3 linked regions of the Alligator mississippiensis genome follow. The protein of the gene in region 2 interacts with the protein of the main gene of each other region in a biochemical or structural test. Links are inferred from orthologs where the notes say so. Each region holds a gene or a part of one and is shown on either strand. Other genes may lie near its edges. The genes, in order: EIF2AK2, DNAJC3 and THAP12.

What was found.
Region 1: the proteins of DNAJC3 (region 2) and EIF2AK2 form a complex in vitro, tested with the Homo sapiens proteins (2 studies listed by BioGRID). The link is inferred for Alligator mississippiensis from reciprocal best matches to the Homo sapiens genes DNAJC3 and EIF2AK2.
Region 3: the proteins of DNAJC3 (region 2) and THAP12 form a complex in vitro, tested with the Homo sapiens proteins (2 studies listed by BioGRID). The link is inferred for Alligator mississippiensis from reciprocal best matches to the Homo sapiens genes DNAJC3 and THAP12.

The regions. Positions count from the first base shown.
Region 1 is NC_081824.1:166,421,585-166,431,582, forward strand, and holds the start of EIF2AK2 (interferon-induced, double-stranded RNA-activated protein kinase), read right to left. Parts: upstream 4,903-9,998; 5' UTR 4,880-4,902; coding exon 4,644-4,879; intron 4,480-4,643; coding exon 4,277-4,479; intron 2,408-4,276; coding exon 2,299-2,407; intron 1-2,298.
Region 2 is NC_081824.1:367,687,318-367,697,896, forward strand, and holds the start of DNAJC3 (dnaJ homolog subfamily C member 3), read right to left. Parts: upstream 4,330-10,579; 5' UTR 4,271-4,329; coding exon 4,189-4,270; intron 1-4,188. UniProt on the Homo sapiens protein: Involved in the unfolded protein response (UPR) during endoplasmic reticulum (ER) stress.
Region 3 is NC_081824.1:469,816,790-469,826,972, forward strand, and holds the start of THAP12 (52 kDa repressor of the inhibitor of the protein kinase), read right to left. Parts: upstream 4,927-10,183; 5' UTR 4,779-4,926; coding exon 4,690-4,778; intron 1-4,689. UniProt on the Homo sapiens protein: Upstream regulator of interferon-induced serine/threonine protein kinase R (PKR). May block the PKR-inhibitory function of DNAJC3, resulting in restoration of kinase activity and suppression of cell growth.

The sequences.
Region 1 (9,998 bases), about 200 Mb from region 2:
CCTCCTCCACTCGCGCTTGTAGGGAGGCAGTTAGACAGGCCAAAGCTACCATGGAGCTGAGGATGGCATCCCAAGTAAAGGACAACAAGAAATTGTTTTTTAGGGAGTAAAAGGAAGGCCCAGGGAGGAATAGGACCCCTGCTAAATGGGCAGAAACAATTGGTGATGGACAGGGGGGACAAGGCTGAACTCCTCAACGAGTTCTTTGCCTCAGTGTTCCTAAGTGAGGGGCACGACAAGGCTCTCACTGGGGTTGTAGAGAGGCAGCAACAAGGCGCCAGACTTCCATGCGTAGACCCTGAGATGGTGGAGAGTCACTTGGAAGAAGTGGTGCCTTTAAGTCGGCAGGCCCGGATGAGCTCCATCTGAGGGTGCTGAAGGCACTGGCCGACATCATAGCAGAGCCACTGGCGGGAATATTTGAACACTCGTGGTGCATGGGCCAAGTCCCGAAGGACTGGAAAAGGGCCAATGTGGTCCCCATTTTCAAGAAGGGGAGGAAGGAGGATCCGGGCAACTATAGGCCAGTCAGTCTCACCTCCATCCTCAGCAAAATCTTTGAAAAAATTATCAAGGCTCACATTTGCGAGAGCCCGGCAGGACAAATTATGCTGAGGGGAAACCAGCACGGGTTCGTAGCAGGCAGATCATGCCTGACTAATCTAGTCTCTTTTTATGACCAGGTTACAAAATGCCTGGACACAGGAGTAGGGGTTGATGTCGTATACTTAAACTTCAGGAAGGCCTTCGATACGGTATCCCACCCCATACTGGTGAACAAATTAAGAGGCTGTGACTTGGATGACTACACAGTCCGGTGGGTGGCGAATTGGCTAGAGGGTCGCACCCAGAGAGTCATGGTGGATGGGTCGGTTTCGACCTGGAAGGGTGTGGGCAGTGGGGTCCCGCAGGGCTTGGTCCTTGGACCGATACTCTTTAATGTCTTCATCAGTGACTTGGATGAGGGAGTGAAATGTACTCTGTCCAAGTTTGCAGATGACACAAAGCTATGGGGAGAAGTGGACACGCCGGAGGGCAGGGAACAGCTGCAAGCAGACCTGGACAGGCTGGACAAGTAGACAGAAAACAACAGAATGCAGTTCAACAAGGAGAAATGCAAAGTGCTGCACCTAGGGAGGAAAAATGTCCGGCACACCTACAGCCTAGGGAATGACCTGCTGGGTGGCACGGAAGTGGAAAGGGACCTTTGAGTCCTAGTGGACTCCAAGATGAACATGAGTCGGCAGTGTGACAAAGCCATCAGAAAAGCCAATGGCACTTTATCGTGCATCAGCAGATGCATGACGAATAGATCCAAGGAGGTGATACTTCCCCTCTATCAGGCGCTGGTCAGAACGCAGTTGGAGCACTGCGTGCAATTCTGGGCGCCGCACTTCAAGAGGGATGCGGATAACCTGGAGAGAGTCCAGAGAAGGGCCACTCGTATGGTTAAGGGCTTGCAGACCAAGCCCTACGAGGAGAGACTAGAGAACCTGGACCTTTTCAGCCTCCGCAAGAGAAGGTTGAGAGGCGACCTTGTGGCTGCCTATAAGTTCATCACGGGGGCACAGAAGGGAATTGGTGAGGTTTTTATTCACCAAGGCGCCCCCGGGGGTTACAAGAAATAATGGCCACAAGCTAGCAGAGAGCAGATTTAGACTGGACATTAGGAAGAATTTCTTCACAGTTCGAGTGGCCAAGGTCTGGAACGGGCTCCCAAGGGAGGTGGTGCTCTCCCCTACCCTGGGGGTCTTCAAGAGGAGGTTAGATAGACATCTAGCTGGGGTCATCTAGACCCAGCACTCTTTCCTGCTTATGCAGGGGGTTGGACTCGATGATCTATTGAGGTCCCTTCCGACCCTAACATCTATGAATCTATAAGTCTGAGGACTGCCTGTAATTACTTCCCTCAATCTACTGGCAATGCTCCTACTAATGCAGCCCAGTATGCTGTTAGTTATCTTAGCAACAAGGGCACACTGACTCTCATTCGGCTTATTGTCCACTATAACCCCCAGGTCCTTTTCTGCAGAGCTGCTGCTTAGCCAATCAGCTTCCAGCCTGTATCAGTGCATGGGACTGTTCTATCCTAAGTGCAGGACTTTGCACTTGCCTTATTGAACCTCCTGAGATTTCTTTTGGTCCAATAATCCAATTTGTCTAGGTCTCCCTGAATCCTACCTTCCAGCATACTACTACTCCCCCAACTTGGTGTCATCTGCAAACTTGCTGAAAGTGTACTCCCTACCACCTTCCAGACTACTAATGAAGATCCATTGGCCTCCATTATGAACTTACTTGGGATCATGAGGTGGGCCTTCCTCACTGACAACCTCATACGACACCTTTAATCCACATGCTTGACAATATTCATTAAGCTTTTTCTTAGATGCCATTTTGAACCAACCTGCAAGGGGGGAAAAATTGACAGTGAATGTATATTTTTAGCATTTGTCTCTGCCCCAAGAATATAAGAAAGCAAACACAGAGATGGCAGCCCTATACTTCATGGGTACAGACACAGATCCAGGAAGTGTTTCTGAGCGTAGAGAATTATAGGCTGTTTTGCTACAAAATATTTGTTGCATGCTAAAAGAGGTGTGTTGAGGAGCTCAGAAACAGCCAAGCATGCCAGAGAGAAGAGGTAGAGAGGAAGTGAGGTTCAAGAAATATGGTCACACTAAATCAGTGGTTCCCAACACAGTGCACGCTGGCGCCATCGCCCAAGTTTTCCTGATCAGTAAAAATAATTATTCCATTAAAAAAATGCTGTCATATTGTAGCAGAAAGCCCCCTTTTCCTCTTGCCTGTATTTGCTCTCCCCTCTTTGGATATGTTTCTCTTTTTCTACCTTTTCTTCTTTCCTCTCTCTCTCTCACTTTAAGATAAGGAATTGTGTTTTAAAAGTTGTGTGTGTGCATTTTGTATCTCCTCTTGTATTTTGGTATTTTTATCTATTTGTGTGCCATGGCATTTGTAGCTTATATTTGATACTCCTCACCTTTCAACTAAATGTGTTTTAGTAAGTTATACATTGTAACAAGGGTAGGAATCAAACTGTCCTTCCCTGTATGAAACTGGCACCTGAAAGAGGGAGTGAATCAGTGATTGAATGTGTAACACTGTAGCAACAGGCAGCAATTAACACCTGGAAGCTGCAGATCAACCAAGGGAAGAACTCAATAGAAGACAACGGAACAACCGCGAAATCTGTAAACCTCACTGATCAAGGGCTAGAAGCCCTGGCCTGAGTTAATCAACGCTGGGGACCAACTTTTGGGCTGAGTATCTCCAGATCAACCGCTCCCAGAGCCCTATTCTAAATTCATCAACGGACTCCCAAACCTGCACGTACATGCGGACGACCCCTGGGACTGACAGATGCCATCCAGTAGCCACTGGGGGGGGGGGAAGTTCCACGAGGGTCAATAACCCCTGGATTGGGCAAACCTGAAAACTGGGGAGTCACCAAAGTCTGCCAGGGACAAATAAAAGGCAGTGAAAAGTGACTGTCATTGGCGCCCTCTTGATCTCCAACTTGACCAGACCTGTCCAGCCAGAAGGACCAGCCGGTGACCCCCTTCTGGAAGATAATACCACACTGAAAGAAGCCATAACGACAGACTCCAGTGCTTGTAGGATAGGTATACCTGACTCTGTAGAGTGAGTGTGAGTGTGAGTGTGTGTGTGTGCCAGACGCAAGGTTTATGATTACGGTGTTTCAATCCGCCTAATAAACTAGAATTTTAAGGATCCCAAGTTGGACATTTGTAGCCACCATTATTGATGCCTGCTGCTTTTTCTTTTAAATTCAAATGTGCCCTTGGGCACACAAACATTACGAATCCCTTCCCTAAGTAACGATGGATCCACATTTTTTTCTTTTACCCATCCCCTCCTTCTAGCAGCGGTGTGTGGGGTGGGAGCAGGGCCGGACACAGGCATGGGCAAACTGGGAGACCACTCAGGGCCCAGACAGAAAGGGGGTGCAAAAATAGTAATTTTTTTATTATAACTATCATGATCTCTGGTGAAGGGGGACTAAAAGTTTGCCTGGGGCTGTCAGCAGTCTAGGTAGGGTGGGAGGGAGGAAAAAATTTGTATTAAAAGCTTTTTGGAAGCTTGGACTCCAGCTGCCTTGTGGGGTCGCGGGGCCAAATCTGGGCCAGTTTGGGGGAGATGAGGACCTTACAGCATAACCCTCAAATGTCCCCTTCCCCAAAGAAGGCAGGGCATGTTGTGGGCAGAGCAGCCAACCCCGCCCCGCCCCCTTTACCTGTGGCAGGTGTGGGCGCTAGGTCTGCGCTGGTCAGTGGGATGTAGAGATCGGAGGATAGCTCTGCCCAGAGGCTTGGACGATCCGGCCTCAGGCAGGGGCTGCACCACACGCCAGCCCTGGAGGGCGCTTCCAGCTGCTGTCCCACTGCCTGCCTCCCACTGGATCCTGCCGGAAAGCTCCTCACGCAGCTGCCTCCTGGACTAGAAAAGGGCCAAACCTTGAGCAGGGTGCTCCCGGCGCCCCACTCCTGCCCCGCTCCCCACAGGATCCCCAACCCGGGGAGGGCGGGGAAGTGGTGTCCTTCCCACTGCTTCCGGGGGACCCGCTCCTTGCACCACGAGGCCCGGACGGTGCAACCACTCACCGCCGCGCCACTCGCTGCAGCCGCCCGGTTTCGTTTCCTGCCGCCGCGCCCGCCCTTCCCGCCGCGCCGGGAATCGAAAGCGAAGGCGCGGAGCAAGCGGCGCAGCCCACGCCCGCTGCGCCTGGCTCGGACGAGCTAGGGCTGTCGGAGGGCGCGGTCTTCCCCCGGCCGGCCCCGCGCGGGAGGCGCGCCGGGCAAGCCGAGCCTGGGCGAAGGCACACGAAGCCCGGGGGCATTGCTGGCCCGTTAGGGCCGGATGAACGCAGGTGCCTAGGGCCCTAAGTGAAGAAGTGCTTATTTTTACGTATTGGAATGGAGTGGGGGGGAAAGTCATATAAAAGTTTCTCTCTTCACCTGGGGGCCCACGAAAGGGTGAATCCGGCCCTGGGCCCTGTTCCTCCAGCCAGAGGGTGTCAAGCGGAACCAAGTTATGAAGGAGCCGCATGTTCAGAGGATGACACAGCACTTCCAGAGCACAGGGGGCCTTTAAAGCATCGCACCCAAATGCACTGATGTATTCATTAGCCTCAGACACGCATCTCCTCCACGACAGCGGTTCTCAACTGTTTTTGTATTGTACCAGGACTAGGGTGGCTGTCATAGAGGACATGCCTGTGTCCTGCTACTCTGTCCCCTATTGATACAAAACCCCACACCTTTATGTTCTCCATTTTTCCTCTTCAACAAAAAAAAAAAAAAAAAAAAAAAAAAAAAAAAAAAAATAGGGGACATAAAGGCATCTGGTTTTGTAGCAATAGAGGACAGAGGACAACCAGACTGCCCTCTATGATGGCCACCCTAACCAAGACCCATTTGTAAACAGCAATGGCTAGTCCCAATTCAGTGCCCCTCACTCGCAACCAGCTGCCCCCCAGCCCTCCAGTGTGTGGGGCAGGAGGGGCTGGAGCTCTGCCAGCCTGCAAGGGAAAAGCCACAGTTTCCCACATTTTTCTCCTTGAAAGGAGAATCCATTTTTAAACTTTGTTTGTGACCCTTTCATATATTCTTGCGACCCACTTTTGGGTCATGTTACCAGATTTGCCCATTACTTTGGGGTGTGCTCATTTATTAGGGATAGTTTCTAGGGTCTTGGTAATTCTGTCAATGTGCTGCTTGTGTTACTATATGGAGCTGCATCTCTCCCTTCTTCAAGCCCTCACCCCCAATGAAGCTATCTTGCAGGACTCAATTTCAATGAGACTGGGTTCCTCCAGTCACCAAATCAGTCATACACACAAACACACACAAATTAACGTGACACGCCTGACCTGGCCGGGCTGATCAGCATGGACAGGCTGACACCCTCATATGCCAAGAATCAGTTCATCAGAGCAACAATAAACTGCAGTCAGACACAAGCACACAGGTAAACAGAATCCCTCTGAATCCGGCTGGGTGTCCAGCTGACACCCTCATGGGCCAGCATTCAGTTCATAAGGGCACGTCTGAGTCAAACTGGGTCAATCAGCCTGTACAAGCTGATCCCCTTATGTGTTTCAAACTCAGCACGTCCCAATCTTTGGCCTCTTGATGAGCAGACCCCACAGTATTTTTGGGCTTCACAGGGATCTTTAGCTTAGGTAAAAGAAGCGTTGCTGCAGAGCACGGGAGGAAAGAGAAGCAGAGAAGGAAAAATATACCCAGTTACTACCAGTTTGACTATAAAAGTTATTTATTGCTAAGCATATGAAATATATAATAGTACTAGTAGTAATAGACATGCAAAAGAAAAAAAAAAACAAACACAGTTACAATACTACCCTGGTTTCACTAAGTATTTGGGGAAACTTAGCTCAAGCTTAACTAATACAGTTCAGGTTCAGAAATCTATGCCTAGAGAGAAAAGAGAGAGAGAGAGTGCTGGGATCTCACCAGTCCAAGGTACTCAGGCTGCAAAGCTGACAGGCACAGTCCTTGAAGGGAGATGATCTGTTCTTCCAGCGTCCCAAGAAGAACAGGGAATGGTGTCAGCACAGGAGTTTTCTTCTTTCTTTCTTGAGCACTCACACTTTTTACAGATTTTTATACCCTCAGTTCAGCTGCTTCAAAGCATCCTCAATTGTGTAAATCATTGTCTTTTCTATTGACAAGGGGTTATCTGGTTTGGAACACCTCAAGAAACTGACTGATAATCAGGAAATACATAAGATTAGGGAGTAACCAAATACTTGGGAGCCAGCTTGAAATTCCTATGGATAGCAGATATACTGATGGGATATCTCATGGGTTCTTCAGAAACAATAGATAGCCTGCAGCATCAGGATTTTGGATTTTCACTTGTTGTGAACAAGCCTCAGCTTAGCATGACTTTTCCAGATCTTATTATAGTCTTTTAACAGACTTATGACAATTATTGGGGTGCTCATAACCTTTTGTGGAGAGGACTCCCACCAGTCATCTTGGGAAAAGTATGACAACACCTGTGATTAGGGCTCCAACAGGCTGGACACTGCAATGAACCCTTAACCATTGTTCAAATGTTGCCCCTGCCCCCTCTGACTCGGTCTCTTGCCTCAGCATTCCCTAACCCGGCAACCGAGCTTTAGTCAATCAAGTTTAAATAGGCCTCCCATAGTGGGACCGGGAAATGTACGGCCCAAGATGCCTATTAAACTTAGAGGTGGGGGTGTGTGTGTGGGGGGGGGGGGGGGGAAGGGAGTCCTTTGTAGATCCAGATTAGAACTGGTCTGATAAATGCTGAGCTGGGTGTGTGTGAATATGGGTTGATTAGCATTTGGAGCACAGATTCCCCATCATGCAGTGCTCCCCTGCTTCTCTGGTCCCAGCATTCATTGCAGTCTCTGCTTCAGGCTTTCTGTTCTCCATCTCTCATGTAAATGAATGGTCATCAGGTTCTATCTCAGATGCAAATGAGACCTAGGGCAGTTGTTCCACCCTTGTCAGCCTTATCTGGAGGGTCTTAGGTGTGTCTCTCACTGCCTCTTAATCAGTTTTGTTTATGTAGAGAAGGGGGGGGGGGTGAATCAGACAGACTGCATCCTGTGCCAGGGTTCCCAAGAACACACAGCTGAGATGTAACAGTCATGACCCGCAGGTTGAGAAACACTGCTCTAAGAGTGCTAGAACGCCCATTCCTACAGCAGATGGATGGGCGAGTAGGGATTTGTGGGTAGACCAGCAGCCTTCATTAAATCACACCAATCAATAGTGAGTTCACAAGTTTCAGTATTTGCAAGTCTTTAAATCTACCATGAAAGTCATCTGATAATTCAGGGACAGTCACACTGTGGCACATGTCACAAGTGCCATGGGCTACCTCTGCATGTGGCACTTGCCAGACTGGGGAAGAGCGCACACAGCACAGACACAGATGAGGCAGGGAGCAGAAAGCAGAGCAATGGATTGGGCAGGGGATGGAAATCTGAATGGCAGTCAGGCCAGATCCAGATATGCAGGCACATGTGGTTTGCAGCACTGAAAACCTCTTTGCAGTGCCACAAACTATACCTGGCATGTTAAAGCATGTGCAGCACTGCAAATTTGCAGTGTGGGGGCAAAATTTGTTACTGGAAATTCCAGTAGCAAAAAAACCACTATGAAAAAAGAAGTGGTGCGGTGTATGCCACAGGAGTGTGCACTGGCAGACAGAGGCTTAGTCCTTCCAGAAGATGCTTTGGCTGCTGGCCAGAGATTTTTTTGGCCAATACTGATGGCTGATTATTTATCAGCCATATCAGCCAGTATTAATCCAATTGCAGATATGCAGCCAGGCAGCTTGGAGGGCAGTGTCCGGTAAGTCTGTGCGGTGGAAAAGGGCATGGGGAGAGGCAGACTGAGGCCCTGCAGTGAAGGAGGGAGTGGGACTGGGGCTGCAGGTGGCTTGTCGGGGGATGGGGGTGGCAGCTCCTGCCTCTGCACACACCTCCAAGGTAGACTTGGGGGGCATGTGCCCCCAGATCTGTGCGCAGGACAAGAGCAAGTTGCCCACTATGGGCTCAAGGCTGGGGGGATGAGCCAGAGCTACACTCAGAGAAGGGAGGGTCAGGGGTGGGGTAGGCAGTGGCAGTGCTGGGAGTGGGGCTACAAGGTGGGTTACAGCCACCCCAAAGTTCACTATAGCCACCCCATGGCCCCCCCTCCCAGCATCACCACCACCTCTCCAAATACCGCCTGCCCCAAGTGCAGCCCCAGCCCAGCCCTCCCACTTGGAAGAGGCTGGCACAGCCCTCAGCCCACCCTCACCTCACACACAAAATACCCTTTATGCCTTTCCTGGGGAGCACGCAGAGGCAAGGAGCTGCCCCCTCCCACCCCCTGCATCCCCCAGATCAGCCTCCCATGGCTCCATCCCATGCCCCACCCCACCCAGGCTGAGCAGCATCTACCCCTGCCCCAGCCCCACTCCATCCCTCACTGTGGGGGCCTCAATCTGCACCCCTCTATGCCTCTTCCCCCACACCTTCCCCCCTACAGACTTACTGGTTGGATGCCACTCTCCAAGCTGCCAACCTGCGTTCCTGGCCACGTGACCCAAAGTCAAATGGGGGTCCAAAGTTCAGGGACTGGGTACACAGGCTGAAACACTGGAACAGGCTCCAGGGAAGTCACACAGACAAGAGCTACATGCAGACTGAGGCTATTTTGTTGCACAGCGGGGGCTAGGTGCTGCCAAAGCTCCTAAGAGCAGCATTGGAACCAAGCAGCAGGCTCAGGCTCAGCTGGTCCTACTTAAGGGGTTGAGTGTTAGTGACCAAGTTGCCTGACTGCCATGCTAAGGCCTTACAGGTGTAATGAGACCTACCTTTCACCACACCATTGTAGGAGTTCTGTCCACTGCAGTACTGGCAAGTTTACCTAGCGAGACGCTAGCATTCTCCAATGCATTCTCTAGTGCATTTGTTAATTCCATGCGTTGTTTCTTTAAGAGCCACAATGCCTGCCATTTCTTTCTTTACATTTCCATCTATTCAAATATAGCAAACAAATATTACTAGTTGTGGTTGGTCTTTGAATTTGTCAGCAGAACAGATCTCTTATATGGGCCTCTTTAAATTATTGGAAAACATTGGCTGCCTACCAGAACTCAGTCAGCATAATCTACCCTTTCCATGACAGAATGTGGGGAACAGTCAGCTATAGGGGATCGACATCCAAGGCTTTTGAGATTCAAAGCAGAGTCAAGCAGGGCTGTGTCTTTGCCCTCATCCTATTCAAGATTATCTTCTCTTCTTCTGACCTACACTTGAGATGGTATAATCAGCTTGAGCTCCAAGGGTGGCTGCAACACCTCCTAGTGGTCACACACTTCTTACCCTGCTCCAGCTCTAGGGTGCCCTCCCCTTCTCACTTGTCTGTCATGCCCTTGATGTAATTGTTTGGATTAAAAGGGGGGCT
Region 2 (10,579 bases):
CGGCTGTATCTTTGACACCCCTGAATTAACGCATTGGCTAGTATAATTCTAAAAGTAGGTCCCAGAGGATACCTGGAAAGGAAGGAGGCAATGTTAACACCAGCAACCTCCTCCCCATCCCCCCACCCCCAAAAAGACCATGGAGTAACTTTAAGCAACAAAGCAGACATCCCTCTCTTTCTCTTCCTTACCACCACTCCCCAAAACCTAAGTCCTGGGGGAGGGAAGGAAAAACAAAAAAACCCCACCAGTACTGTTCCATAACAATCTGTTTCAGCCTCAGATCAGGAAGAGAAATAACACTTTGACACCATCCCTGGGTAAGTGGTGAGAAAAGAGACCTGAAGAGGTCAAAGGACTGGTAACAGCAAACCTGGCTAAAAATGTTGAGCTCTCTGAAAAGCCCCTGTTGGCCTTACTCTTCTTTCCCTCCACATAAGTCCTTTATCTTGCTGCTTGAAAGGAGCGAGAAGAAAAACAGGACCTCCCCAGTCATCCATTTCCTATTCCAACTGGGATGAACAAATATCCATGTTCACAAAGGGGCTTGTGCTAACCCTAAGCCTGTGCATAACAAAACAGAAGAATCCTACAGAAGAGCCAAAGCTCATTTTAAGCCAGTTCCCAGAATACTAGCGGAAGAATGGCAAAGTCAGTCGTGGGGGTTTTGGTTGTAGCAGTGTTGGTCTAAGGTGAAGGCAGGCAAGGTTCTTTGAGTAGATGTGACTTCTTTTATTAGACCAACTACGTAGTCCAACTACTCAGTTCATCTAATAAAAGCTATCACATCTACTCGAAGAACCTTGCCTGCCAAAGTCAGTCATGATTCACATTCAAACAAGATAAAACCAAGCTTATCAACTAGCATCCACATAAGACTTCAGCTTAAAACTGGCCTGTTACACAAATTCTTAAATCAGGGGACTTCTACAAACAAGTTAAAAGCTGGAAAGATTAAACTATTTTTTAGAAGAGCTAAAAGACTGGCAATACTGAAAAACATGAGGTATATAGAAATGACTCTATCCTTCCAATTCAATGAGTTTCACAGAAAACACGCTTGCACAGTATGTGTCTTTTAACCAGCAATAAATTCACCCATCACTTCTTCAACCATCCTCAGCACCCTCCTTCAGGAGAATCTCCTCAACTCTTCCTGAAACCAGTGACGTTGTGCTTGGGACCAGTGAGGAACAGAAGGGATGAACTGTGTTGCAGAGGAGGCAGGCTCCCAGTAACACGTCAACATGATGCATTCTCCAATAAACTATTCTTTCAGCAATATAGTTATGCAAGTCAACAGAACCTAGTGTACCACCTAGTGTATGACAAAAAGATACTAGTCGTGTATTTTGTTAGCTTCACATATACCAAAGAAAATGCTGCTTTGAAAGAGATATTGCATCTCAGAAATTGTGCCCAATTACATCACATTCTGGCCACCCTAATATGTGCAGAATTGTTTCTTATGAGTGCTGTGTCCAATCTAGTTCCGCATAATACCCTTCCCATCAAGATTATCACAGTCTACTGCAGCTCTCTGTTAGGAAAATAAATCCAGTGTTAGAAAGGAAATGTATGCCTACTGCAGCCACAATTAACAAGGCACCAGGTCATGCATACTATGGCCATATATAAGAAAGTGACTTGGGATAGTCTGGCACCTCTATATCCACAATTATCAGCATAATGGTATGTCATCTCCAAGTGCTTCAGAATACGTGCAACTGTTTAGACCAGGGGCCAGCAATCTTTTACATACCTTAGGCTGAAACAACACAGCTCCAGTCTAATGTAGGCCAGGTGGCTTCAGCTGTGTGACAGTACTGGGGAGCCTTGCTCGTGCCCACACCAGGACCACACAGCTGGGAGCTGTGCCCATGCTACCGCTGTGCTGGAACCAGGTACCTGGAAACTGTGCCCATGCTACCCCGCCCCAACCTAGGCTGCAGAGCAGCTCCCCACTGCCTGGAAGTTGTACTCATGCCATAGCTGGGGCAGGGGATGTGGTGTGGAAACTAGCAGCAGCATGGACGTAGCGCATTCTTACACATGCTTTGGGGGGCGGTAGTTAGAGCAGCTCTCAGGAGCCACTAATTAAAACACCTACAGTGTCTCATGTATTCAGCAACCCATGCTTCAAAATGGCAGTAGGGATGCTTTAGTTAAAGTGCCCTCACCACTGTTTTGAAACACGGGAACACTGAAAACATGAGACGCCAAGTCTGCTGGACCACTCCAATTAGAAAGCATCAGAACAGGCATCAGCATGTATAGGTGACCATACTTTGTAGATGCCTGTCCCCGCCAAAACTCCCCACCAGCTGGAAGCAGTACCCATGCCACAGCTGAGAAAGCATTGGTTGTGTGGACATTGCTCCCAGCTGCCAGGTACCAGCACAGGGAAAAAATCCCTCCCTTCTCCTCCCCCTGCTGACAGGCTGCTGAAACTACCCACCCTGTATCAGACCAGAGCTGGGAGGGCTGCTGGAAGTGGCAAGGCCCAGCCCCTCTCTTCCTCATGCCACCATGGGCAAAGGCAAAGCCCTCCAGCTTCACAGGCCAAATTCAGCATTGCCAACTCCTGGCTTAGACTAATTCTTCTGATCACAATTAGTTTGCTTCCTGTAGCAGAAGTATCCAGAAGATACAATACAAAGTTTTGACATAATCAGACACTACAGGTTACCAAGTTCCAGCTTAATATTATATTGTCCATCAGCCAGCTGAAGCACATTTCCATTATAGATTTCTTATTAAGCACAATTTTGAAACGCATTTCAAATGCAGCGCTGGAGAAGTCCACAGATTTACTCTTGGCTGCAAGGTTCACACAGGGTTCCTTCTACTCTGCACATCACCACCAATAAGAAAGATCAAATCCTGCCCTCAAAGACACCAGTAAAACATCTGTTTTCCAACTGCGCCATTACAGACACCTGCACAACTCCATCAGCCCTAAGCGTAATTACACAGGTGTCACAAAGGATACAAATCTGAAAGCAAATTGGCTGTATAAGTACAGGTGGGGAATATAATCTGCCTTGAAAACCCTATTACTGGTGCCAATGCAGGAAATGTTTTTTTAAAAAGTGATTGTCAGAGACCTAGGCAAACTTCCAAATAAAAACCCCAAGCAAAAAAGGAGAAGAAAAAAAAAAAAGTTTTGTTTTTTTTTTTTAACTTGAAAAAGTCAGTGAGAGTTGAATAAAGTCACTGTTTAGGACCAAGGCAGCTGTTTCAACTTTCAGGAACTGGTCTTCTGCTGGTAGCTCCCAAAAGACTGGGAAAGCAAAGCACTTGCTGCCACCCTGACAGAACTCTTGATACATGTAGTTTTCCAGTGTGACTAAGACATGGTATGTATGTATGTATTTATTTATTTTAAAGCAGCTGTTGGTTTTAAGAAGACAGGGCCTCCACTCACTTTTGAGCCTGGTGTCTTCATTACAGAAAGTACCTGGGGAAGGGCTCAATCTGGGGGTTTATTCTTTGCCACATTAACTGTCCCCCATCTTCACCGCCCCCTTAGAAGCCTGGTCCCCGCTGCCGCAATCCTGGGGCGAGGCCAAGCCCAGTGCATTTCTCCACAAGGCAGCAGGGCACCTCCCGGGTGAGCTTGTCTATGCCAAGAATGGGCTGGGCCCAACTCTGGCTGGCACTGCCCACCCCGCAGATTCCCCCTTCTCCTCCTTGGCTCCTAGTGCCCCAAGTCCCCTTAGCCCTACTCCCCTCACCCCCTAGCACAGTGCTTCTCAACCCTTTCCTGCACCAGAACTCATCTGTTAACATCAACGGCCAGTCCCAACCCAGTGCTCCCTACCCCCAGCATCCATGGGGGAAAGGGGGGGGGGGGGGGAGAAGCAGCCCCTGGCAGGCTGGAACGGTGCCAGCCTAAAAGGGAAAAGTCTCACGTTTCTCTCCTTCTCAAGGGGAATCCGTTTTCAAAGTATGTGCACCACGCTTTCATATATTCTTGCGACCCACTCTTGGGGCGGAAACCCACGGGTTGAGGAGACATGCTGCCCTAGCACATAGCAGCTGGGTCCCAGCACAGCTCTGGGAGGCGCGGGGCAGGAGCCAGATGGCAGTTCGCGACACGCGCCCCAGCCTCTGCCCCTCGCGCCCTTCATCGCCGCTGCCGCGCACGGCCCTGCGGGCAGCAGCTCCCCCGCGCGGCGCCCTCACCCTGGTACTGCAGGTCGAAGAGCACCAGCAGCAGGGGCAGCGCCGAGCCCAGCGGGCGGCCGCGCACCCCGGGACGCACCATTGCCTGCGCTGAACCCCGAGACAGCTCGGCGCGTCCCGCCCCGCCCAGCGTTCCAAGTTCGCCGGGGTGGGTCGTGGGCGCCGCGGATTGGCTGCGCCGCCGCTCGCCCCGCCCCGCCACTAAGGACACGTGGAGAGCGCGGAGAAGGCCCACCGCTTGCGCCCCGCGGGGGCTTGGGCATGCGCAGAAGCGCGAGATGACGCCACTGAGGGCTTTGCCCTGTGGTGGGAGGGCGCATGTGTCCGTGCAGCCCCTTAATAACTAGCTTGTGCCGCCTCCTGAGCACGCCGGGCTGGGCATGAAAGTGTTGCTCTCTCGGTTTCTGAGAGGGCAGCGCAGATGTGAGGGGGCAAAGTTCTCCTGCAGGCGGGGGAACATTTCAGAGGGGCAGAAGTCCTGGTGCTAGGGCTAACCTGGCCTCAGCCAATGCCTTCTTACTTGTGTGGCAGCGTTGGCAGGCATTGGCAATGCGCAGGGGGTGTGCACCCCCTGAGTGTGGCGGCGCACCATGTGGGAAAAGGTGCCACTGACACTGCCAGTGGCGTCTGCACACGGTCCACAATCACTGCTGGCTGCTTCCGGTGGTGTCTGCGGGTGGTCAGCGCTTGCCACCTCCCCACCCCCGACCACCAACAGTGCCACTGCCACCTGCAGAAGCTTCCTGCTTACCACCACCAGCAGGAGCTTGCTGTGCCCCCCCAGCCTCCAGGGGCACAAGGCACTCATGTTGGCAGGTGTACGATCATTATCCAGAATGTGTAGAAAATCTTAAAGGCAGTGTCGAAGGAAGTTTGGGCAGATGTTCTCCAAGGAGATATGCCAGCGAACAAGTTTGTTGTGTCACCTGGCGTGGTGTCAGATCAAGTGTTGTAAAGTCAAAACTGACGTCAGAAAGCTGAAACAGGGTGTCAATTTATAAACATTGTAAGTATGAAACATTGTACAACTTAAAATGTTGTAAGTCGAAGACTGCCTGTACTACAGCTTTCTCCTTACCTTTCCTGATGGGCAAAGAGCTCCAGTCCCACGGCTCCAGCAGTGCCTTGCTGCATGCACCTGATCCACACGCAATGCAGTGAGAACTGGTGGCAGCTGCTTTGGGTTGGGAGGAAGCCGCTGCTCCAGGATGGGATGGCTGAAGGTGGATCCAGGCTTCAGGCACAGGACTCTGCCACTGCCTGTGTGGACATAGAAACTGGCTACAGGTGGACTCTGCTCCCAGCTGCTGAGTGAAACCAACTTGGGGGGAGAGATAGCATGCCTTGGCCTTGGCAGTGCTCCTTCGCTCCCTCAACATTGGAGTGGGTGCAGCTACCTGCTAGCAAACTACAAGCCACCTCTGGACCTGGATCATGGGGACAGCTGCCCCTGAGGGGAACTGGGGGCAGCTCAAACCATCCTACCAGTCCTGGGGGTGCTGCCCCCTGTAATGCAGCTGGTGCCAAGTCTTAGCCCCATGGAAATAGTCCCATGGGCCAGCTGCTAGTTTGGTTTCATGGGAGTTGCTTTGGTTTTTAACTCCATCAGCTCTTACACACCCTGCAGCAAGCAGTCTCGGCTTCCCCCTGCTAGCCCAAGGGAGCTAGGCACTTGCCCTCCCAGCCTTGCCTTAGAAGCATAGCATAGAGAAGTATGGCTGGAAGGGACCTTCCTGCTCACCAGGCCTCTAGTGGCAAGTCATAGCTGTGTAGGTGGGAGAGAGAGATTTCTAGACTAAAGATGCAACTGCTGAAAACTCCAAGCTAGCGTTAACCTGAATTAACATTTGTGCAGCTCACAATGCAAGGTGTAACACGACCCTAAGAGAGCTAGACAAAGGGTCTGCAGAGGTTGCCAGCTGCTTCAAAGGGTCTGCAGAGGTTGCCAGCTGCTTCACAAATCAAGTTCATTGTTTAGGTTTTTTCATTCATGTGCACCTGTGTGATCACTACACTTCATTAATGATTTTCTTGTATTTCCTTCAAGTTAGGTCATATACTTCAGCATGTCATCCCTATTTGTGAAGGCAATCTTCTATTATGTACTACAACTTGGATACCTACTCATTGTTTCCGTAGGTCCCTGATGTCTCTCCGAGAAAATATTTCTTTGATTGGAGCTGTTTTACCTTGGAAACAATAAGCCTCACATAGTCTGAGTAGTCTGTATGGATTTTTCCTACCTATTTCAATGACTGTCCCATTAGAGACCTATGCTTTACAGATATTCTTGCTTTTGTGCCTTATACACGTGTCAGAAAAGTGGCTTTCTGAGCAGGAGACTACTTATGTCCCTCATATTCTGCAAAGATCAGCTCTATTAATTAATACCTTTCACTTAATCCAGTTTTCTGCAGTATTCCTGGCTTCTTAGTCCATAGGCAGGGCAGTTTTTGCATATTAATACATGCTTGAAGGCCATAGTTTGATTTTTCTTTCTTCTGACAACTTGTAGTGTCTTGGTTTAAACTGCTTATAATGATAGAAACTAAGGTGGGAATTGGGCACACTGAACTGAGATCTCAGTAGTTCAGTTCATCAGAATGACCAAGAAGCAGTATTATTTCCTGTGCTTCCCTGAAAGCAACACTGCATCAGCTAAGGAACAGAGCATGACCTTGATATAAACATCATTAACCATTATTGTTCAGACTTATATCTAATCTGTTCACTTCACCCTCTGTTGGGAAGTGTTACTGCATGTTTGTGTGTGAGACAGACTTTCAGCTTTTCTCCTTCATCCCCCCCTCACTGCCTTTGCTGTGAGCTATTTTGGAAAAAGCGAAAACTACTTCTAATTTCAAACTTCTAGTCTTTATAGAATGTATCTAGCTTACCAACACTGAGATTAATTTTTGTGCCTCTGTCTCTAGCATCATTAACCTTATAAAATCCTAACTGTGTGTGAACACTTCCTACAAATGTTGACACAATTTTCATTCTAATTTGTTTGTGGTAAGACAGATCCCAATAGGTTTAACATGGTTTAAGAAGACCTTAAAAGAAGAAAGGTTTTTGTAGCTTGTTAGTGTTTATACTTGTTTATATGTGAATGTGCTAACAGTTTATTCATAGAAATAGTTATGCTAATTAACTTAGATGATATACTTTCACCTAGATATTTCTTTCAAGATTTTAAAACCCTTTGCTAGGGTTTAGCTTTTGTTCTACATGCTTATGTTATTAAATAGTCACATTTTATCCTTTAAGCACATTCATTCTGAGCCTATACCAAATTAGTATAGTGTTATGCCCCTTGTCTTGCATGAATATAAAGGTTGGCAGCAGGTGTGTCTACATGTGCATTTGATCTGGAAAAAGTTTACTTGGGAGTAAATGCTCCTGGGCAGGCATCTACAGACACATGCACAGTTTCGGGAGCAGATTTATGCTCCTGGCAGCAAACTGCTCCTGCCTCTCTGGCCATGCATCTGGCAGCAAGCACTGGGAAAAGAGACAGCTATCTTCTGGCAGGGGCTGGGACATTGCTTCATGCCCCCAGGGGTGCTGCCTGCTGCCAGGGCGGGGACAATGTTCCTAGTCCCAGCTCCCCTATTGGGGGCAGGGGGCTCAGATTCCCTGCCCAGCTGGGGGCTCACTGCTAGTGCCCCACTGGCAGATGGGGCAGAGGGCTGGGACCTGCCCCACATCTGCAACTCTTTCCAAGCCTTGCATCTTGATTGCCAACTGGGGCACAGGACTGAGACCTGCCCCTTGACAAGGACAGTTCCCAGCCCTCACTCTGTATCTCAGGGCAGGAGCTGGAGAGCCTGTTCACTGCCCAAACTCCCCAGCCCCTGTAAATTTTCTGCTTGCATTTGCAGGTAGCAAATTTACTCATGATTAGAGCTAGTTACTGCACAGTAAGCATCTGCACGTGTAGATGCAGACACTTACTGCACAGTAATCAGTTTTATTGCACAGTAAAGTGCTTTGTGTAGATGTGCCCTGTTGCATTTCACTGTAGAAAGCTTCTTTTTATGTGGCCTTAAAAAATTCCTTTACTTGAACCTTTTTGGTTTAATTTCATAATTGATACAATGTATATCCTGGTTAAGTGTTGTTAATTTATCACTTTTAATTAAACATTGCAAACAATGTTTTTGTTTCCTTACATTTAGTTCTTATTGTGAACTATACAGTGATTTACCTCTGTTTCTGTATAACTTAATTAACTTTTTAAGTTGAATCTCAGTAATCTTCAGTTCATAGTTCTACTACCTAAGTCTCTCTTGCCTCTCAGGTATTTGTAAGATCCTAACTTCTTAATCATATATTGTGGTTAGTATCAGTATCTGTTCAAAACCATTGGAACGTTTCAAGCCTTTCTTATCTATTATGGGCATAAGCCACCTTTACTAGTAGTGCTATGTGGAAGGTTTTTTTTCTCCTTTCATTGTCAGGATTCAATTGTTCCTGTAGCTTCCTTTACTCTTTACCCAAAAAGCTGTAGCAAAACTAAAAAATCCCTCTAGCATAAACTGAAGTCCGACAAAACAGTATGACTGAAGAAGTTTATGTTAATTCTATTCAGCCAAAGGCTTACTTCTGATACCATAGCCAGTATTGTAACTAGAGTGGGGGAGCTGTCCCAGGATCCAACTTGGGAAGGCAAAAGCAGAAAAAAACGCTGCCATCGCAGGGCATCATTATGTTGGTGTCACGAAAATCAGCCAGATGTTGTCACTGGCCCCACGTGTCACAGCTGCCCTGGGCTGCTTTATGCTCTGTAGCTGCTTTATGCTCAGTAACTCTGACCACAGCAGTTACTGCAGGAACATTTCAAACATAATTTTATGTCATATTTGAGCAGACTAGGAACATTCAGAAATGTGTACATCACATGTCATTCTTATTATGAGATTTTTGCTTTGCAGTACTCTTCAACAGGAGGAATATAAGCTTAAGTGAGAACCAGTTCAGCAATTCACAGAAACTACATTTGTGGACAAGCACCAACTCTTTCCACTGTTTGTACTCCTTATCTGCTAGGGCTCTTAAGTGTTGTGGTAATAATACAATTGGTAATTTAGAACTTCCTCTTCCTCTCATGACTCATTCCTGACTCTGTCCTCCTCCTTTCACAGATTTATCTGCCTGATGTTTTCTCAGAGGCAAGAACATATTAGCCTTTTTCTTCAGGATGTCTTTTCCAATAAGCCTTGATTTCAGCCTACAATGCTAATGATTCTTCTGGAGTGATTTCAATGGTCAAAAAAAGTTTTGCCACAGGGACCACATTGTACCAAACCACTCGAATCCAGTGTTACATCACTTTCTGTTGTTCTGGCAAGCCTGCTCTGTTGGTAGTATGATTGGCTATATGCATCCTGTGTTGGTCACAGAGTGTCAAGGCACAAATATAGGAGCTATTAATTCAGCCAGAGTTCACATTTTTCTTCCTTACTTCATTCCTGAGCCAAACACAGAATAGAGACCAGTTTATTTATATGTATTTAGAATCACAGAAAATTAGGGTTGGGAGGGACCTCAGGAGGTCATCCAGTCCACCTCCCTGCTCAGAGCAGGACCATCCCCAACTAGACCATCCCAGCCAGGGCTTTGTCTACCTGGGTCTTAAGAATAGAGACTCCACAACCTCTCTAGGTAACATGATCCAGTGCTTTACTGCCCTCTTAGTGAGAAAATATTTCGTAATATCAGACCGTAACTTCCCTTGCTGCAGCTTGAGAGCTTCTGTCATCTGCTACCACTAAGAACAGTCTAGCTCATATATATTACTATTATTATATATAATCGTGGTGTTTCATTTAAAAAATTGGGATTTTTGGTTATTAGAGAAAACCAGGATCCCTGGTCATAAGACAGTGCTGACAGCAGGCCCAAAAGTCAGTTAAGACTCCCCGGGAGTGGCTTGGGTTTTGCATATGCTATACCAATGAGCTGTCTCAAAAATTATTGTACATCTTGAACACTTTTACTGTTATTGATGGTATATCATACAAGGGTTGAAATTGTCATACAAATATGACAATGATCCTGTGGTTTCATATTCTTCCTCTCATGACTCATCCCAGACTCTGTCCTCCTCCTTTTCCAGATGCATCTGCCTGGCGTTTTCTCAGGGGTGAGAACGTACTAGCCTTTTTCTGCAGGATGTCTTTTCCAAATAGCCTTGATCTCAGCCTACAGAGCTAATGAGTCTTCTGGAGTGATTTTCTACATGTTCTGGATAATGAGCCATGGGGAGACCAGCACTACAGAACAGGTAAGAAACAAGAAGGTAAGAAACAATGGGCCCCTTGGGACTCGGAGCGGGGGGGCAGCAAAGGCACCAGTCGCAGGGCTCAAATGCCTATATACTAATGCT
Region 3 (10,183 bases), about 100 Mb from region 2:
AAGTGAATGCTAAACATGAGAAACATTCATATCTTTGATCGGGGCTAAATTACCATGGTTTAGCCTTCACTTAACAAGCAGTTACTGCAGAGCAAAAGCCCCTTTCAATTTGCAGCAAACTGTTTGCATGTCTGTATACGTAGGTGTGCTATGAGCTGAGCTGCTTAGCTCTGCCAAATGGCAGAAGTTCTGGGCACAGGGAGTCAGCACCCCTGGCACCTAGGGAACTTGATTAGTAAAAACTCAGGCAGGAACAGCCTTCGTACCAAAGGGGTTGGGCACAGTATCATTCCACCAAACCTCTTGGACTTGACATCTGTCCCCTTTTGTGGATCTAGGTCTTGCCACCTCCATCAGTCCATGTAAGCAGTGCAAGGCAGTCTGTTGTATGTGCAGTCAAAAGAACTGGATGAGATCTATACAAAAAAACTTTTGAATCATATTCAAGAGGATTTAAAGTATTATTTCTTGGGTTCAAACCTTCTTGTGGAAAGTAGAAAGGCTTAGATAGATTGTTCTCATCTGTGAGCAAGCCATGCTAACAAGCTGACTGTAAAAATTGATTTTTATAAACCAAGACTGCCAGTAAGTACCTAATCAATGAACAGGGAGGCTTCAGAAAGTACAAGACTCCTTCAAGTTCAGCCAGATGCAGCCATTAACTTAGTAGAGAACGATGCCAACACATGTGGTTCAATGGTATTTATAAGGAAAATAAATGTGTCCACTGATACGTCTATGGTCAGGTAGAACTGTTTTCCAAGTTCTTTACCAACAAAATATTTGGCACAGACAAGACCTGCTCGGGTTTTCTCTGCTCCCTCGTTTGCCATTCTTATAATCTGAAGTGCTTTTCTTCAGTCACAAACATTTACAAGTCAGTAGTTCTTCAGAAATAACACATCTCATGGAAGTGTAAAGGACCATTTTGTTTAAGGGGAAAAAACAATCTACTGATTGCATGCAAAAAATCATTTGTCTTCTTTTACTATTAGAAAACTGCATTAGAGTAAGACCTTTTTTGTTTGGGAATAGTCCCGGGGGGGGGGGGGGGGGGGGGGGGGGGCAGCCATCGGGGCTGGGGGTGCAAGTGGGGGGTTGGGGCAGCCACTGGGGGGATGGGGGGCTGCAGCAGCTGGCAGGGGATGGGGCCAGGTGAGGCAGCAAGTGGGGGGGCTGGGGTGTGGCATGTGGGCCTTGGTGGGGGGGGTGGTAGCAAACTATATATTCATGTGACATGTATTTAGAGTTCACTTTATTATTATGATAGAGACACTGGTGGGCTGCTTCCACACTGCTTTAACACTAGATATATCAATAAAATATTGCCCAAACGATCGCCGTCTGTCTCACTCTCTCTCTCTTTATAGTGGTCTTTGTTTTACTTGTGGAGGAACATGGATTTGGGGGTACTTTACACAGTGACTTTGGGATTTTTTTTTTCATAAGGGATTTTTCAGTTTTCCAGTAGGGAACACCACAATTCCTGCTAGGGAGGCGGGTGGCAGGACCCTGCCTGCTCAGAGCTGGTACCTTGGACCCAGCTGGCTGTGGCTGACCTCCTGTCCAAATGGGGCCAGGAGGACATGCTTTGACAGTTCAAAGCAGGCCACCACACACGGAACATCTTTCGGGCGATAGCTGCCCAGATGGCCAGGCAGGGTTATTTTGCCCCAAGTGGCACAATTTGCTCCACAACAAAGTGCATGTCCAACCACGTGTGCCGAGGCAAAAAGCCTTGACTCAAATTTGTTCCGTTTCTATTTGAGCTGCTACAAGTGCACGTGCTTGCATGTGTGGATGTACCCTATGAGGGTAAGTGCTACATCTGTGCAGATTTGAGCCCGTGTTTCCAAAGTTCACAGTTCTGCGACTAAATCGCAGTTTTTACTACCATAATGAGCACCTTGTCCTACAACCACCGAGTCTAACAACAGATGGCATTCTTCTTTCTTCACAAATAGTAAATTCTGATGTAAAAAATGGGAAGCATGCCAAATTGACCAAAAAATATTTCTGCCCAAGCCAGGGTAGGCAGCGTAACTATCTCTGCCAAAATCCAAGACAAATCATACTGAAGTCATAATTTTCAGTTCAGATTTATTTTTTGATTAAGGAGAGTAGTACTAGATCTGAGCTAGAGAGGCTGAGAAGTTACATGCTGCTAAAGATAAGAATGAATCAAAGCATGTGCAATTTTCTTGTTGTGCAGAATTTGAGATATGTTGGTATCTCGCATCAGCAAATTCTCAAATGCCAAGAATAGTGCAATCTACTTAAAACCAAGTTAATACTCAACCTTGCACAGCATTCACTTTAAGCAGGCACTGAACCATTTCAACTGACATTAAAATTAGGGGCGTGTAAAGTGGGCCGTATTCAAGTTGGATTCGGGCCAATTCAGGGAAAAGCGATTCGATTTGTTGATTCGGATCACTGTCCTGATTCAATCCGGCCGAATCCAAATCTAAAGATTCGATGCTGATTCAGAGAATCAGCGATTCAGCCATAGATACAGCTTTAAATGTTTTTTCTATATATCTCGAGGTATCAGGTGCGACTTGTGAACGCTGCAATGCTAGGGCGGATAGAGCGTCCCACAGGAGTGCAGGGAAGCCCCCTGCATGCTCGGCAGTGGACCCAGAACTACTTCCAGTCCATTTACGGGCCTGCCGCCGAGTGTATGGGGGCCCCCCTTCGTGCCCCTCTTTGCTCAGCAATCAGCCGCAGCAGGACCCCACGTCCCCCCCAGACCCAGGAGGCACCAGTTGCTGAGCCAGGAGGGGTCCCCCACATGCTCCACAGCGGACCTGGAAGTGCTTCTAGTCCACTTCCAGGTCTGCTGCCGAGTATGCTGGGGACCCCCACCGCACTCCCATGGGACGCTCCACCCACCTCACCATCTTAGTGTTCACGAGCCCCCAGTACCTTGAGGTATGTAGAAAAAAAACCCATTTAAAACTGTGTCTATGGCCGAATCATCGAATCTCTCCAAATCAATTCAGAGGGTTCTGATTCAATTCGGAGAGATTAAAGGGTCTCCTGATTTGATTCAGCTCCAGCCACCGAATTGGGCCAAATCTCTGCTGAATCAAACCAGCGACCGAAGCGTTGCACAGCCCTAATAAAAATATCGTTCTCCTGAAGCCTTTCAAGATAATTAGTAACTTCCACGTGGAATAACTGTCAATGATGTTATCTTGACTATGTGTCAAAATATCAATACCAACAGTCACTTCCCTAACGTGGCAATATCTAGCATAAAATGCTTTTAAAAAACGCTCTTCTATATTACCAAATCGGAAAGCATCCATTCAACGTGTGTTCAACAGTAAAAAACAAAACAAAACCCCAAAAAAACTATTTACAGCACTCGAGAAGTTTTGGGGATTTTTTCCTCCCCTCTTTATGTATTAAGACAGGAATGGGGAAAATACGGCCCATGGGCTGGAACCAGCCCGCCAACCGTTTGGATCTGGTCCAGTGGCAGGCGCACACCAATTGACTTGCATCTGGCCTGTAGCTGCCCCCACAGTGTTGTGGATGGGGCCGAGTCTGGCCCGCTCCTTCCCAGGACAGCTAATGCTGCATTCCTGCATGCCGGATGGACCCAGCCCCTGCCGGCATGCATCGCTTCCCCATGGGGCTACTGCAGCTATCTGGGTGCTGTTCAGTTCCCACTGCCTCCCGTGGCGCTCCCTTCACCTGCCCTGTAGGCAGCAGATAGGGTGGGGAAGTGGTGGTGAGCAAGGGGAAGGTGCAACTGAGCGGCTCCTACCCCAGCGTGCACGGCTCCAACTCCCGGACACTTTTCACCCACCTGGCACAACTAGTAGCCACCTGTGGGTGGCCGAGTGGGGGAAAGGCAGCCCCACTGGGAAGCTGTACACACTGGCTCAGCCTCACGCATAACACTGCAAGGGTGGCCGTGGCCAGAAAAAGGGGGTGGACTTAGCACTGCCCCGGCAAGCTTTGCTGCCCCTCCTTCCCCCACCCCAACTCAGCTTTTAGGACTCAGTGCACACCTAATATACAAGAGTAAGATTATTTTGAGCTATTATGCAATTGCCTTTACATAAACTCCTCGAAAAAAAAAACCCATAAATCAGAACAAAAAAAATATTTTTTGAAATAAAATTATGTTTTTTAATATACGATTTGTTTTTGTTTTTTTATCTACGAGTTAAAACGATATCTTCCGAAAGACCGTGCGTGTTCGGCCCTCAAACAGCTCACCAAAACTCGTTAAGTGGCGCTCCAGCTGAAATAATGACCCGCCCCTGTATGAAGCATGGTTAATAACAGCCTATTACAAAGTTAAACTAAGTTAAAATAACTCCTAGCAAGTTAGCTAAGTACAGACAACCCTTAAATCTCTTCCATTTTTTTTTTTTTTTAGGACTTGCAGCCACTTTCATAATGATATTGCAATAATATAGTTTACAAGGGTGCTTCTCAGGAGGACGCAGCCCATCTGGATTCAAGGAGCGGACCATAAAGATGTCCTCAATAGACCATTATCTGTTTTGACTCACACTGATACACTCCCCCAACACACCTGGCTCTGGGCCACTGCCATCACACTCACCCCCCCCTCCCCCCGCCCTGCACGTGGGCTAGGGTCACCCCCGCCCCCACCTGAGCCAGGGGGAGGGGGAGGGGGAGGGGGCGGGGCGGGGGTCCCCTCACCGTGCCGGGTCGCGCGGGAAGCGGAAGAAGGCCAGGTCGGACTGCGTGCTCTTGCGGGTGCAGTTGGGCGCGGCGCAGAAGTTCGGCATGGCCCGCGCCGGGGCGCTGCCCCTTTAAATCCGCGCAGCGGGCCGCAAGGAGGGGGCGCGGCGGGAGGGGGCGGGGAAGCGGCTCGACACTGCTGTGAGCGGCCGGGAGGATTCACCGCCACCCTCCGCCGGGGCACAGCCGCCTCGTTCCCACAATGCCCCGCGGTGGCGCGCCGGGCCTGCGAGCCACTGCGCAGGCGTCGCCCCGTCCCTTCCCTTCCCTTCCCCCCCCCCACCCAACAGCTGCCGCAGCCAGCCACTGGAACCCGGATGTGGAAGGGGCGGGGAATTGACGTGGGGAAGCTGGCGCGCTGTAGTGCGCGTGCGCCTGACGGACGAGATGTGCGTGCGCAGAAGGCGCCAGTAGATTAAGTGATTAGTGGTCGTGGTGTGCATGTGCAGAAGACACCAGTGGGGGTTTGAGCAGGGACAGTTGGTCGTCTTGCGCATGCGCAGACGGCACCAGTGGGCTGTGAGCGATCGCCGTGTGCATGCGCAGAAGACAGCAGGCTTAAGCAAGGGGTCAGCGTGCGCATGCGCAGAAGGCATTAGTAGGGCGCGTGCCCTGTAATGGGAGAAATGCAAAAGTCGAGAACTTTTGTTTCCAAAATGATACTTTTTATTAGACTAGCTTAGAAATTGCAAAGAAATATCTTTTTTTCTGTAAGGGGAGAGGCAGTCAGTGCATAAGTGCTTTTGTCCCCAGGCTGTTGCACACCAGGATCTCCCTTGCTGCAGCCAATGCCTTCCTGTCTGGGCTGTAGCTCTCTTGGCTGATACAAGACATTGTAAAGGGATGAGGAAATATAATTATAGCCTTGGCTTATAATGATACAAGCCTTGGTTTATAATTATAACCTTTATAATGCTTTCTGCAAGGTTCCTGTTTTTAAGTCTAAAAGGACTTAACTTGGCTCGAACAAATAACCTTTGCATTCACTTCAGGGTGAATCAGTTAATGGCTTGTCATGCACCCCTTTCAGCATGCTGTTTGGGGCTTTGAGGGAACAAATCCAAGTCACGGAGCAACTTTTCCACTGCTTAATGGTGGCTGGTTTGGGGCCAGGGAGACTGGGTGTGAAAAGTCCTGAAAAGTCATATATCCTTTGAGGGTGCAGTGACATGGCGAGTACAGGTTGCCATTATAACAAGCCTAGCCAGCCCCCAACCATGGGTCTACAAGTGCTCCACGGCAGAGCAGATGGAAGAAGATATTAGACTCTCAATGGCTGCAAAGGCAAATAAAGGCTGCAGCAGGACGGGATCCCCAGATATCTTGGTCCCTTTGCCAGTGGATCAAGGTCCCGCTCTGTCAGGTCATGTGGAAGCCGATGTGCAGCAGCTTCTTCCCAATAAAAGCAGTCATGCACGGGCCTCTTCCATGAACACAGCTTTTGTAGCACATTCCTCAAGCCCTTTGGTGACTAGCTAATGGTGACGGGAGCAGGATTGTGAGGGCTGGAAGCTCCTAGTCGTGAACTGGCACGAAGGCAGCAGTTACAAGAAGGTTGTCTAGCACTTGGATGAGGCAGGAGTGTGATTCGGCAGCCGTAACTGCGACCGAGCAGCCCTCTTCAAGATCCGCTCTGCTCACCCCGCATGGGCTTGAAAAGATGCCCTAAACATAGCCTGTCTACCTGCCTCCTCATGAAAACCATGTACAGCGGGATCACTTTTACTGTGATAAACACATATCCGAGCTGCAGTAGAGTCTGTCAATCCTGGATAGGCCTCATTGTCAGTCATCTTCTGTCATATAGATAAGACAATCATAATCTATAAGACAGTCATCCTCATCTGGGAGTGATTGCCAAAGGAGATTCTTGCCCTTCCATTTCTCGCTCACTGCAAACTACTTGTTAGTCTAAATATACCTGCTCATTTCAGATGACATGCTGTGTTGATTGAACAGGTCATCCAAGGAGCCCTAAGTGCTGCATAAGCCCCCGTCCTGCCAGAGGAGCTCCCCAGCCATTTTCAGCCCTATGGGCAAAAGCAGCAGCAGCAGATCCAGCAATGCCTTGTCTCCCTGCCCCTGTTAGGAGACATTCAACTGCATCCTTGGCACTGCCCCATACACAGAGCTCACAGTACTACACAACATGGTCCTGATCTAGGACCATTTGACATGCAGACCGAAGAGAAAGGGGATGGACCAGACGTGGTGAAGAAAGAGGTGGTGTCGGAGAAAGTCTGTGGAACTAGGAATCGGGGTTTGAACCAGGTGGCAAGATGAGCCTGTGAGTCCTGGGTCTCTTTTCCAAAGATTTTTTTGAGGATGGGCCTGGGGAGCAGCACAAAAGCTGGGTCCTCAGCCTGCAAGCAGCAGTCATCGATTTAATATTTTCAGAAGGAAAATGATAGCTTAAGTGGAAGGAATTCCTGGGTAATGACTAACTATGGTTCTGGAGGCTATTGGACAAAGTGGGATGAATTCTGCTTCATTTGAGGGAAGAAGTCACAACATTTTTGAGATAGCAAGGAAATCCCTATGGCTCTGTGAAGCAGAAGGTCCTGCATTTGACCCTTTGGACCCATCTGTTTTGGGTTAGGGGAGGAGGGCAGGGAATGCTCTGCTGGCAGCAAGCCTCTGGATCCTAGTTCGGTAACCTGTTAATTATATCCCACAGTTTCCCCCAATCAAGGCAGTGGTGCTAGAGAACTATTCATGCAGCAGAACCTCAGGGCAGCCAGCAAGAGTCCTGGAAGTTTGCCCTACTTAACGATTGCTTATGTAGCTTCCAACCCCTTTTGGTTCCTTGGTAAGCCTGTTCAGTCCGGCAGCATCACAGTTTGTTCCCATTGCAGCAGCCGAGCAGCTGGGATGCTGTGCCTCTTTCTACTGGGTCCTGGACCGGCTGAAGCAGGTGCCATGTGCACTCGATCCAGCATGGGAGGGGTCTCTGGGCCTGATCTGGCCTCACACCCTTCATCTGGCATGTGGACCAGACCCTCACCCACTCATCCAGCCTGCAGGGACAAACAAGTTTGACACTCTTGGCAATTCATACATGATTCACTGAGCTTAAATGGAAAGACAGACCCTGTGCGTTTCGTCCCGTCCCATCTTATACGCTTGTGTAAAATCAAAGCAGCCTGTTCAGAAAGGGAAGCAGAGCAGGAAGTATTACCTTTCAGATATCCAGATCTGCACTCACAGAGACTTGTGGGGCTTGGATCTTGGTTCATGGCATCATCAATCTGTTTCGCTTTTAGTTTTCACATTTGTGAACAGTTATCTGTGGACAAACTGGTGGGATTGTCCACCAACTTGGCTATGAAAGTGTTAATATCTATTCATTAATAAAGTGGTCTGGTTATAAAGGAGGTTGGTGTGAGGTCTGAGAAAAGAGCCAGGAAGCTGCATGGAAAGCTTTTAATGAAGCCAAACTCTTAAAACACACAGCACTGACGTTAAATTCTCAGTCACCCACTATCAAAAACTGATAGCAGTCTTCAAATACCCAAAGTGTAGGCCTGGCAAGCCCCACTTGGCCAGAGTAATGCCATGATGGTGCAAGTGCACATGACCAAGTTAAGCAAGTATCAGGTTGGCAGGCAGGGCTTGTGTTTTGCAACCTAAAGGAAAGAAGAAAACAGGTGTTGATTGGATGCAGAATTAGGTTAGCCAAATATGAAATGGTGTATGTGACTAACCAGGTGTTGCCAGAAGCGTAAAAAAGTTGTGTAGCTGCAAGGAATCGGATCACTCAAGCCTCCTCTGAGCATTTTTGACCCTTATGAATCACCGAGGAAGTGGCGATGCTGGGCCAGCTGACCTGACTTCTCTCAACTCCAAGGCTATGCGAGTATTATAATTATTGTTGTAAATAAGTTAGTGCTTAAGCATATCCCAATAAGGCTTTTGATGTATGACTGGAATGGTCTCACTGATCATTAATCTCGCTCTCCACCCAAGCTAAATTTTAAAGTAACACAAGGGTGATTATAAAGAGGATAGAGATGGGTTTTTCTCTGTGGCTGTATGGGACAGGACTAGGAGCAATGGCCTCAAGCTGCAGCAGAGGAAATTGAGGTAGGAGATTAGGAGAAATTTCTGATTTTGAGGGTGGTCAAGAATTGGAACCGGGGACTTAGAGAAATTAATTGTGTTATCTCCATCTTCGGAAGTTCCCAAGAGTAGGTTGGACAGACACTTTGTCTGGGATGGTTTAATCAGGGATGATCCTGCTTGAACAGGGGGCTGGACTAGATGATCTTATGAGGTTCCTTGCAGTCCTATTTTCCTATGATACTATGGTGCTGCATGCCACAATAACATAGGTTTAAGCTGTCCAGACTAGCATCCAAATGCTTTTGCAGGCAGTTCCATTTTGCTTTCAGCCCACCGCATCTTGAAACCACTGTGTGTATGTAATTAAGTCTTCGCTTGACAGTTGTTATGAGATCAGAGTACAGTATCATAAGATATAAAATAATAATGGGCGTAGACCCCTGCTAATAATCAAATCATTAGGAAGGAATAAGGATCTTACTTGTCCAAATGGATCAATGCCAGATCTATTCAGCACCTTGGTGCCATGACCCTTCCCCGTAGACTTCATGTTGAGCTTTGTGACCATTGTAGCCTTGCAGAGCTGTGGAGCAGTACAACTTTGTAGCTGGCATAGTCACCGTCTTCTGGCAGGCAAACGATGGCCTCATCTATCCTGGCAAAAACCCCACCCATGTGGATTGATTCAATGGCTTGGCACAGAAATGGATGGCCAGAAGCCCTAGACAAGCTCTCCCACAATACACCATGAACCAGTTCCTAGAGCAGCCCATGTTACGGAGGTGAGGTTATGCTCCCAAGAAACCTATAGTGTAACCTGAGCAAATGCAGTGCCAAGGTAAATATGAGAACAGGTGGGGTGGGTTGAGTGTGACTTGCAGGTAGGCTCAGCAGGTGCATGTATGAGTGTGACATGGGACTTAGGTTGCACACTGTAGGATAGGCGTACCTTTAGGGCCAGACCCTAATCCCCTGCTAAGACACATTTGTTGAGCCTTTAGGTATCTACCTCAATAAACACCGTCTTTGATCACAGGAGGTGGACAGTCCCCTGGCTTTTAGCTCAGGAGCTTGCCTAGTGGTTAGACCACGTGGCTAGGAGTGGGAGACCCAGGTTTCAGACCTTCTCAGGTGGGGAGGGATTTGAATATATGTCTCCTACTTCCCAACAAAGCACCCTAACCACCAACTGCGAGCTAACCAGGACCAAGAGCACCCTCCATGCCTTTGCTGAAGCTGGGCAGCCACGGGACAGTCAGGGAGCCAGAAGGAGAACACACAAAGGCAGAGTGATTGTGTCCCAATGAGGAGGGGCCTGGCCTGGAAGACAGATGTGGTTTCTAGCTGTACATGCATTTTAACCAATGACTATTAAATGCAAAATGCAGAA